Linked DNA regions of Drosophila melanogaster. The protein of the gene in region 1 interacts with the protein of each later gene in a pairwise test. Each region holds a gene or a part of one and is shown on either strand. Other genes may lie near its edges. The genes, in order: CG32461, CG31910 and Sas10.

Region 1 (3,252 bases):
CTAACTATATAATGAATATATATTCTTGGTCAGGATCAATAGACGATTCGAACTGGCCATGTCGGTCTGTATGATCGTTGCGATCTCATAAATCTATTGAGTTTAGATTAGACATGCTGTTTTCAGAGACAGCGCAAGCTTATTTCCAAATTTTGCAATGGCCACTCGAACGGCCACAAGCCGGCAAAAACTGTAATGCCCCTTTTACATGTCACTTTTTGAAAATGTTTTGAAGTTTTTTTATTTATGTTAATAATTTTTGATTTGCCAATAAACTTTTTGCCATGTCCACTCTTACGCGTACAAACCTTTCAAAACTTCCACGCCCACACTTTATAAATTGCTTTAATTTTTTTTTCGGCTTTTTGTTTGTCTTGCCATTTTCTATTGGTACACTTGGGCCACGCCCCTTCTAACACACACAAAATGGCCACAATTTTGAATCGGGAATCTCGACTATACCATACTCCTTTTTGTTTCTATTTGGCTTACAGTGTAAAAAAAGTGTAAAATCTTAATAATAAAACGCAATAATTACGTATTAAGCATTTTTTATTTGGTAATAAATATAAATTTAACTTTTCAGTTTTTAAAATCGCTGTCTTCTCATGTGTGAATATTACACGCTGTTATTGATCTTTTTTAAATTAAATTCGACTTTAACAGCTCCAAATAATTATTGTTTGTACGAGTTTTTCCATCTTCCGTTGTTTTACTATTACCGCGAATCTTCGAATAAGTGGCTGACTTGGTATGGTAAAGGTGTATCTTGCTTTCCGTACTTAAATCACCACAGGTGCGTTTCATGTATCCAGTGGCAGGTTTGCTTTCTTCCTTTGCATGACCAATGCATCTTCGGCTTATACCACAATCCTGGCCGACGCCTTTGCTGCGGGGAGTCTTATTGGAAGCACCTGTATAAATCTTAAGAGATCTGTTTGTGGCCGGGTAATGATTTGCGTGAAAGCCAACTCCAGTTGCACCGACCAAGTCTCCGAGACTTCCACGCAGTTGGCAAAGAATCTTGTCTTGCTTCACGCGAAGTTTGGCTGGCATGGAGAATTTTTCGCCCCGTATGGGACCAGTCGCATCTAGTCCTTTTGCTATTAATCGCTCCAAATCTTTTAACAGATTTTCCCTCTCGGAACCTGAAGCCAAGGATATTTGCCGCAGTCCGAACTGAACTTTGGCATAATGGGACGAGATTTTGAAAAGCGCCTCTTGCAACTGCTCCACTTCGCCTTCGAGCTGACACTCATATGGCGTCATAGTCCTGCTTATCATCCGACCTTCCGAGTCAAGTTCGGTGTAAAGTCGCTCCTCTTCAATTAATTCCGGTGAATTGGATTTTGTCCATCCGGATACAGCGACATTTTGCTCTTCACTATTAATACTACCCATGATCTGTGCAGACTCCTGAAAATTGACACTTTATATTTTCGAATAAAGCTAAGGAAATATATAAGCAATTTTATTTTGACAGTGAATGAATGAGTAGAATACTTACTGAACGTATTCCGTATATCAATTTTATAATAGTATTATGATGTAGCATGTTACTAGTGTCTCTAACAGCATTGACAACAGTACGCATTTAGTATTTATTTATTTAATATTTTTAGAGTAGAGCTCAGAATGGAAATGACAATCTTCAGAAAGAAATTTGGGCTGTGTCTTCGTCTGTTAAATATGCATGCTTAGTCCTAACTTTCAAGCTTTTAAAGTTCCGAGATCACATCGCTTATACGGTCGACAAACAGCCGTGCTCAAAAACATGACGGTCCATGGTAAAGATGTACTAAAAAAGAGGGAATGCTATAGACGACTTCCCCGACTAGAAGATACCCGTTACGCAGCGAGTGGAAATATGAACGAGAAATTTCATAATTTTTTGGGAACATTGGAGTTTGACGTGGCGATTTTGGTCGGTTTGTGGACGTAAGAATGGTCGTGGTAAAAAGTAGAAAAATCGGTAGAAACTTACAAGACTAATAAATTTATGAAAAACAACCCAAACATTTTTAAAAAGCGTGGCAGTTTTGGGCGGTTTTAGGGCGTTAGAGTGGGCGTGGCAACAAACTTGCTTTGCGTCTATGTCTCTCTCATATAGTTCCTGAGATCTCGACGTTCATACGGACGGACAGACAGACGGACAGATCCTGATCAAGAATATATATACATTATATTTATTCGGAAACGCTTCCTTCTACCTGTTACATATTTTTAACGAATCTACTGTACCCTTTTACTCTAGGAGTAACGGGTATTAAAATTGTATTACATAAAAAAATTTTGTATATAATAATTAATAACTAAAGAAAGGAATAACTAGCTACTGTGGCCATCGACTCGACTTACTATTAAATCGGTGGTTGTGTTAAATTTGGTGTATAACCTAACATTTGTTTAAGAAAGATAATATTTGGTTAAGATTATTTGATGTTAGGCTAACTAATATATTTGAGGGCGGGGTGGGACCGAAAAGATATGTTCTTAGGTTATGATGGTGTCTGCATTTATCTAGTATATAATATAATATATATAATATCTAATATATAGCTTGGTCGCCTTTCGACGTTGATATATTATTAAATTATATAATATAATATATATAATATCTAATATATAGCTTGGTCGCCTTTCGCCGTTGAGAATGTCCTTCCGTGTAAAGTGTGTGGGTCCGGTTTTTAGACGAGTAAGAATGGCAAATTCCCATCTGTTGCACGATTCTGTTGCTGAATTGTTTATATCAGTTTTCCAATTCGATGTCGGGCAATATCTTTTTGATGTTTTTTCCAGCTGTCCTGTTGCACTCCAGGTATAATTGTAGGGCACGGCGCGACCGGCTAGCTTTGCGGCTTTGTCGACTAACTCGTTTCCATTGATTCCTATACCGTGGGGCCCGTAATAGCTTAATTTTGCTAATATTTTTTGTGCACAGGTGACTAAATTCACATTAAAGTTTGTTGTTGTAGTAGAGGTTTTAGATTTCTTGCAGGGTGGACAGACTGTCACTGCAGATGATATGTCTTTCTTAAGTTCAAGAGTCAATTTAATCGATTGGCTACTGCTTCGGCGGTGAAAAGAGAGAAGTAGTGGGGAGTAGTCTACTACTACAAAGGTAGTTGATGTGTCGGACTTTGAGACGTTCGTGTAAAACCATTTCCGATCGGCGTATTTATGGGTAGCTAAACATTGTTGAAGTAGGCGTTCTTGATTTTAAAAATCGTCTAGTGTAGTGTCGATGGTCGA
Region 2 (3,359 bases), on another chromosome or scaffold:
ATCATCAAATCTTTAATGTGATTATTATGAGTTTTTAAAAATTTCGAGCACATATTTTTATTGCGTGTCAATGGCAAAAAGCGCGTCACAAACGCACGGGGCACAGACTCAGTGGGCCGCAAAGACCTGTGCAGTGCGGCACAGCTACAGCTACAGATACAGATACATATATACTTTATCTCTCGGTTAGCCATAATATTTCTAGCGCCGACAGCCGACGGCACGACCTTGTCCCACGGCTCAACGCGTAGAAAGCGAAAGATGCGGATGGCAGGAATGATATAAACCACACCAGAGCACTGAGATGCATTATTAAGTGCATATTTTAATAAGAAATTATTTTCAAATTGGTAAAGTAATCAAAGTGAAGTGTAATTAGGTTTAAGTGTATTAAAGCTTAATGTCATTTTAATACTATTAACCAATCGTCCTTATTCTTAATTTGATTAGCTTGATAAGCCTAATTAGCCCACTTAGTGCAAATAACTACAAAAACGCACCTAAAACGATACATTTTTCAAATTTGGCCCTCTTAGTTGACTGCATTATTTTGTTTCCCTTTTTTCAATTATCGCGAAAGGTTCATTGCACCTTCGCCTCTTAATTGAACACAATCAAAAATATTTTGCAACCTCTCGCCCAGAATTAATTGCACATTAACAATTTGGTGTTGAGAAAACACATCTTGAGGGCGCACAAGAAGCACTTGTCTGATCCAAAATAGCCTAAACACATTACACCGAACAAGATATCGCGCATACGCCGCGTGTGCCGCTGTGGCAATTAAAAATTCCGAAATCGTAAACAACGCTCAGTCGTGATGTGCGAAATGTGGATATTTTGTTGAACATTTATTTGTAATATTTTCTTTCACAAAAAAATGTAATGTTTCGAGACAAAATTGCAGTATTGCAGAAGCCAGATTGGAAAGTTTTTAGAACGATCATTGTGGCTATAACATTTCACTTGAAGATATTTTTAAACATTTACCTTTCGCCTTACCATTTACATTTGACAGCCGTCAATATTTCCGACACATTTTTCCAATTAGAGCGCATTTCATACGCGTACACTTTTCGCACTCTGCACTCGCATGTTCCTATTGTTTATTTGAGTGATATTGAAAAATCGTTTGGAAACATTGCTCAAACATTGCTCATGAGTTCGAATTTCCTTCATATCGCAACAGATATATTAAATGTTTCACTGCCGGCAATTGGCTTCGCACTTCATTTATGATGCCCAACGAAATAAGAATACGGAAAAATTACGCATTTAACATGAAATCTATGCCAACGGATTTTCCTGTGTGTACGCTATATAAGTTGGTTGGCTCTCGGAAAAATCAGCAGCACTGCAGTATTTGGCTAATTTGATTTCCGTTCCAATGCATTCGAATGCCGAAAGTGCTCGAAAATCGAATCAATCAAAAGCTCCTTTTTGCCGCCCGACTGATTTCAATCGTATAAATATTATATTTAGTATATTTATATTTAACTATCACATGCTATTCATCGATTGCGAAGCTGATTTCTTTTTTACGTACATGTTTTTGGCAGACAAATCTTTTTTAAATTGGCCTAAGTGAAATATAAATCTTCATCTTTTCAACTGATCTTAATTAAAAGTGATTTTTCGTCAATACTCAGAGGATTCCCATTCGACCGATGCCAAACAAATTGGTTTAACCTTAGAGATCTAATAGGCCACTGACGAAAGAGATGAGCACCCAAATGGATGGGTAGTATTAGCCGAGACTAAATCATCTAGTCTGCCTTGAAGGCCGATCCATTATACGATTTTCTCAGACAGTCAGGCAGTTAGCACACACACACACACACACACCCAACACACGTAGTCTATAAACAAAATGGAACACAGAGTTGAATTGATGTTGGAACCCATAGTGGCGGGCAAGTTGGAGCGCAGATCGGATAACAGATCAAACAAGGTGGAGGATGAGGAGCCGCATCTAACCAAGCAGCTCAAGAAGCACTACGGGATTGAGGCAGAAGTTCTGGGTCTCCTTGTCAAGTTAGAGATGCGTTATAAGGAATACTACAATCTATACAAGTGCGAAATGAAGGCCCAAAAGATACTGGTTGAACGGATATGGCTGCTAACCCAGCGATATCTGATTCTAATCAGTTCAGAGCAGAGCTGTCGCTATCCCGAAGTGTACACCTTGTCCACCGAGGAGGCCATTATCAATGAATATGAGGAAAAATTGGAAGTGCTGCGAGCTTCAAAGTGAGTTGCATACAACTTGGCTTACGAAATTATTTACATTGCGCTTCTCTTTTAGCAACAAAATGAAAAACACCCTGTTGGAAATCAATCAGCAGTGCAAGGAGTTCTATGCCGCCTACGAAAGGCTGGACAAGGCCCAGGAAACGCCCTTCATCATGGGCGATAGCCATCATAGAAGCATCAAGTACCACAAGATCATGGCCGTCGACATATTCAACTATTTGTATGCAACAGTGCTGAAGCTCAAGTGCTTCATGCATCAGCTGGATCCCGTGAATCTGGAGAGTGTCGAGGAATACCGCGATCTGCTCCAAAACGAATCCGCCATGGAGGAGTTTGAGGAGTATCTTAACAATCAATTTGTCTACTGCAAGTGTATCTACCCGATTCCAACCTGCCCCATCTTGAAGCTGAAGTGTTCCCACCAAAACATAGCAAATTTAAAGTATGTCAGTCGCATCTAGTCAAGCCAAAATGTGCAATAAATAGAAGCCCTATTCAATGAAATTCGATTTATTGGCTAGTGATAGCTGTCCATCAACTAAACAACTAATCAATAATAATGAGTGTCCCATTAACATTTGTGGGGCTCTGCTCCCAATGAACAGAAGCCCTTCTGGTGATGCTAGATCGGGTCCCCCATCGGATCTTTAGTGGGTCAGCAGCTTGAGAAATCCGCCTGAGGATGCAGCACCTCGCTCGTGTGCAAGATGAAGTTATTTATCCGCTTAGCAACTCATCCAAAGAGTCCTTTTATAATACCGTTATCCACTCTAAATGCAACCCTGTCTACTAATGTAAAATAGAGAACCTGATCGAAACAGAGATAGATTTGAGCTAATCTGAAAATGAAAAGTTAAATTGACATGAGGGCCCAGAGACATTGCGAAAGTGACCTTTATTCAATTGCCACACTGTCATGGGCATAATGTGTTGCAGGGCCACGAAGGCAGGGTCACTTCTGTTATCAATGGTTTTATTCACCCCTGAACTTTCAGCAGCGCCAGCAAGAATACTTGTTCGAGGATGTTTCACGAGCTGAGCTGAAGCGTGTTAAATGCGATTCGGTCAGGCACAAGTCACATCCCGAGGATGGCATTCAAAAGGAC
Region 3 (4,159 bases), on another chromosome or scaffold:
CGGCATAATTAGCGGCTCGACCATCCCAAAAGGCTGCAGTTCGGGCGCATAGCAACAGGACTCCAACTTGATCCGCGACTCGATTAGATCGTTGATGGTGGGCACAAAAGTTTCATCATACGATAGCCGCATAGAGAATATACCCTGAGCGGTATCCAGTTCGCCGACATGGGCATACAATACCCTATTGAATGTCATGCGCTGGAATGCGGTGATACCATTTTTTGGCCACCCATTGGCCAATGGGCGTACGTGCGACATTTTGCCGCGAAATACCAATGGCGGTGTGCGCGCAAAGCTTAGTGGGAGGAATCGTAGATGGTTCGGTGCCAATGTGACAGACAGGGCATGATCCACATACTCTATGTTCACACATTGGGCGTCCAACGGTGCGGTGACGAGCACCATGGCACGTCGCCAGCCACACTCGCTGTAGGCGGCGCATATGTAGCCCTCTTTATAGAAATAGCTAGGCAACTCGGCACGGTAGCTGCTGATCGTCGTATGGCGATAGAACCAGCTATGGGCATTAAATAACAATATTATCAATCAATCAGTCAATCAATCGATTTAGTTAGTAGCTTACTTTAGATCAATGGTCATCTCGGCTACAGGATTCTTGGCGTACTGCGGTGGCACAATGTGGAACCAGAACTCACACGGAGAGAACACCTGCGCAAGAAAAAAAAACAAAAAAAAAAAGATTGAACTCCTATTTCAAAGCTGTCTCTTTGCTTGGCACGGGACCAAAGCGCACTCACACAGCTCATGATGATCGGGAAGATAGAGTCCTCCTTGCAGATATCCTGGATACGCTGCGGCGGCAGCTTCCAGTGCATGCCAACGGCATCCATGGGCAGTCCATACATCAGTGCACACAAACTAACATCACCGATATCCGGGAAATCGGAAAACGACGGTATCAGTTCCTTGACAATGTAACCATCCGTCGTTTTTGATTCGAGTCCATCGCTGTCGCTATCGTTGTCCGATGTCGACGCTAGCAGTGTTTCCACTGACGCAGCAGCTTCTGCCACTTGGCTATTGCTATTCATGAAGTCAGCATTGCCGGTGTGCAGTTCATGCATCTTCATTGGGCCAGGATTGTTCATTGCCTGGCGCTCCGACACGGTGGCTAACAACTGCTCCAATGGCTTTCCATTCACCTGGACATCGGCTACATCCGGCGGCACAACGATGTTGCAAAGCATCTTATCGAAAATTCGCACATGGTGCTGGTCGTCAGTCTCAGCCGTCGGCTTGGAATCGGTTGTTTTTAACTCGAGAGCGATCTTTTAAGGGGCGAAAAACTTATTAGTAATTTCTACAATACATATATGTATATATTTCGACGCACATGTGCTTTTTCGAAAACTTTTTGCAAGTCACTCGAATCGGAAATCACAAGCCGTATTTTGGCATTGGGCTGGCGCAAATCGAGTGCTAATTCAATTGTTCCATTGATCTGCTGTTCAGAATTAGCCGGCTTCTTGGAATCGGTAGTTTTTTCCTCCAAAGCGATCTTTTAGAGGAAATTACTTATTAGTATTAACTAAGCATACATGTGTAATTTGAATTTACGTACATCTTCGACAACTTTTAGCATGTCACTCAAATCGGCTAACACTTTGTTATTCCGCATTTTGGCACTGGGGCAGCGCAAATCGAGCGGCACATCATTGTTATCCTCGGCTTCTTCCGAAATTTTTCTCAATTTCGAGAGCAAAGTTTGAAGTCTTCCTTCTTTGACGTCCATCTTGCTTTGCATCCTGATTTTAACTGAATTTCAATTGTGGAACTTTTCCCATGTGGCATCACCGCCGTAAGCTAGACGCTAGAGATGGCAAATGCGCCATCCGCGAAATCCACCACACCAATCGGTCATTGGCGGCTATCGAACGTGTTATCGAGCCGTTTGTTTACGCACGTGTTGTGTTTGATTTAATTTAGTTTTAATTTGTATTTAAACGCACAGAGAGCAGCTAGCAAATGGACAGCGACGGTGACGACTACGTGATGAGCGGCTCCGACCAGGAGTACGATGACGAGGAGCGCGAAATACTCGAAGATCTGCGCAAGCAGCGCAAAAAGCCACATGATCCCGTCCAGGAAGTGCTCGGTTTCAGTGATGATGACGACGACGACGACGACGACGACGAGGAGGAGCAGCAGGATGTGGCGGAACTGATGCGCGACAGTGACATCGAGGGCGCCGAAGACGATGACCGCGATCTGCCCAACACCATGGACTGGGGCAGCAAACGGAGCACGTACTACAACACCGACTTTGTGGACCAGGACTACAGCAGCTACAATGCCCAGGAGGAGGAGCAGGCACGCGCCGAGGAGGAGGAGGCCAAAAAGATCCAGCTGCGTCTGGCCAAGCGCATGAGCGAGGCCGATTTCCAGCTGGACAATGTAGAAGCAGCGCCCGCAGGCAGCAGTGATGACAACGAGCTGAGCCATATAACCAAAGTGACCAGCGATCTGGCCGGCCTATCAGAACGCGAGCGACGACAGCTGATGCACAGTGAGTCGCCGGAGTTCATCATTCTCACCCAGGATTTTCAACAGCATCTCGACGAGGTGAAGAACCTATTGAAACCGGTGCTCAACTACGTTCGCAAACACGATGTGCCCATGGTGCCGGCGCTGCAATATGCCGGACTCTGCCACACCGTGCTCACCACCTACTGCTCCAATGTGGCTTTCTATCTGCTGCTCAAGGCACGTCGCATCGACGTCAAGGCCCATCCGGTGATTAGGCGGCTGGTGCAACTCAAGGATCTGATCGAGGAGCTTAAGCCGCGCTACGAGGAATACATTCGACCGCAGCTGGAGGCGCTGCTGGAGAGGATTGAAGATGGCGATGCATTCACCGTGCTGGATGTGGCACAGCGCAAGGCTAAGCTGCAGATACTCAACAAGTACAACGATGGCCAGCAGGCGTCAGTGAGCTCCGATGATGATGATAATGATGACGATGACGATGCTGAGAGTAAGGAGAAGGATCTGCAAGAGGAGGCTGGTGAGGAGGAGGAAGAGGAGGATGCGCGACGCGGCATCACCTATCAGATGGCCAAGAACAAGGGCCTCACGCCGCACCGCAAAAAGGAGCTGCGCAATCCGCGCGTTAAGCATCGCGGCAAATACCGAAAGGCGCTCATCCGGCGCAAGGGAGCCGTGCGCACGGTGCGCAAGGAGCTGCAGCGCTACGGCGGCGAATTGTCCGGCATCAAGGCCGGCGTCACGAAGAGCGTCAAGTTCCGCACCTAGTTTTTATCCAATAAATCCGCCAAGATCATTACATTTTAATCAACTCGATGTTTGTACACTTGAAACACCCATTTCATCCAAAGACTCACCGGGGATTAGTCAACTAGCTGTCATATGCGAAACAAACAAACATTTTTCTTCACTTGGTTCATCAAGAAACCAATTTATATGAGTCGAAACAAAAATCATTGTCTTACAACAGTTTTTCTCTTTGTACAGTGTTCTCCAACCTTGTCTGTTTAGGTTGCCTTAAATCTAAAAAAATATATGCTCCAAATCTTCGTCTTCGTCTTACAAACTAAACCATGGCCGCTGGCACCGGGCTCAGCCGCCGGCATTTGTCGCCTAATCCTTGAGAAATAGCTTGCGAAAGTCATCGTTTGACTTGGGCACAGCAGCTGGCATCTCCTCTTCTTTTTTCTCATCTCCCTTTTGCTCCACTCCACTTTGCTCCTCTCCTATTTGATCATCTCCTTTTTGCTCCTCTCCTTTTGGCTCCTCTCCTTTTTGCTCCTCTCCTTTTTGCTCCTCTCCTTTTTGCTCATCTCGTTCTTGAACATCTCCTTTTTGCTCCTCTCCATTAGCCTCGCGCTTGATGGCCACGTCGACGGATGCCGAAGTGGATGATATGTCCCCCGGCTCGGGCAGAAGCAAGCGCAGCTTCTTGGCAGCCACCTCTTGGCGCACCAGAGTCGTGGGTATAAGCGAGGTGGGCACACGTCGCTTGGGCGCCACACTTGGCTTGACAGCTGATGTGCCCCTCGGCGGTGGGTTTGAAATGGCCACAGAGATCTGAAAGAGTTGTGAAATGCATTTGCTTTGGTTGGTTCGGTTAAACATGAAGGCACACATCATTCGCTTACATTCATGCCCTTGAATAGAC

The links.
Region 2: the proteins of CG32461 (region 1) and CG31910 interact in a two-hybrid assay, tested with the Drosophila melanogaster proteins (one large-scale study listed by BioGRID).
Region 3: the proteins of CG32461 (region 1) and Sas10 interact in a two-hybrid assay, tested with the Drosophila melanogaster proteins (one large-scale study listed by BioGRID).

What each region holds. Positions count from the first base shown.
Region 1 is NT_037436.4:22,953,885-22,957,136, forward strand, and holds CG32461 (uncharacterized protein), read right to left. Parts: upstream 1,419-3,252; 5' UTR 1,402-1,418; coding exon 643-1,401; 3' UTR 537-642; downstream 1-536.
Region 2 is NT_033779.5:6,744,054-6,747,412, reverse strand, and holds CG31910 (uncharacterized protein), read left to right. Parts: upstream 1-1,790; 5' UTR 1,791-1,870; coding exon 1,871-2,250; intron 2,251-2,305; coding exon 2,306-2,714; 3' UTR 2,715-2,750; downstream 2,751-3,359.
Region 3 is NC_004354.4:5,315,515-5,319,673, forward strand, and holds Sas10 (something about silencing 10), read left to right. Parts: upstream 1-1,894; 5' UTR 1,895-1,989; coding exon 1,990-3,276; 3' UTR 3,277-3,557; downstream 3,558-4,159. Other genes in the region: CG15930 (uncharacterized protein), read right to left, coding at 1-520, 587-672, 762-1,292, 1,358-1,522, 1,586-1,768; Rnp4F (RNA-binding protein 4F), read right to left, coding at 3,622-4,068, 4,140-4,159. UniProt on the Drosophila melanogaster protein: Essential for gene silencing: has a role in the structure of silenced chromatin. May be involved in gene regulation during development. Binds RNA.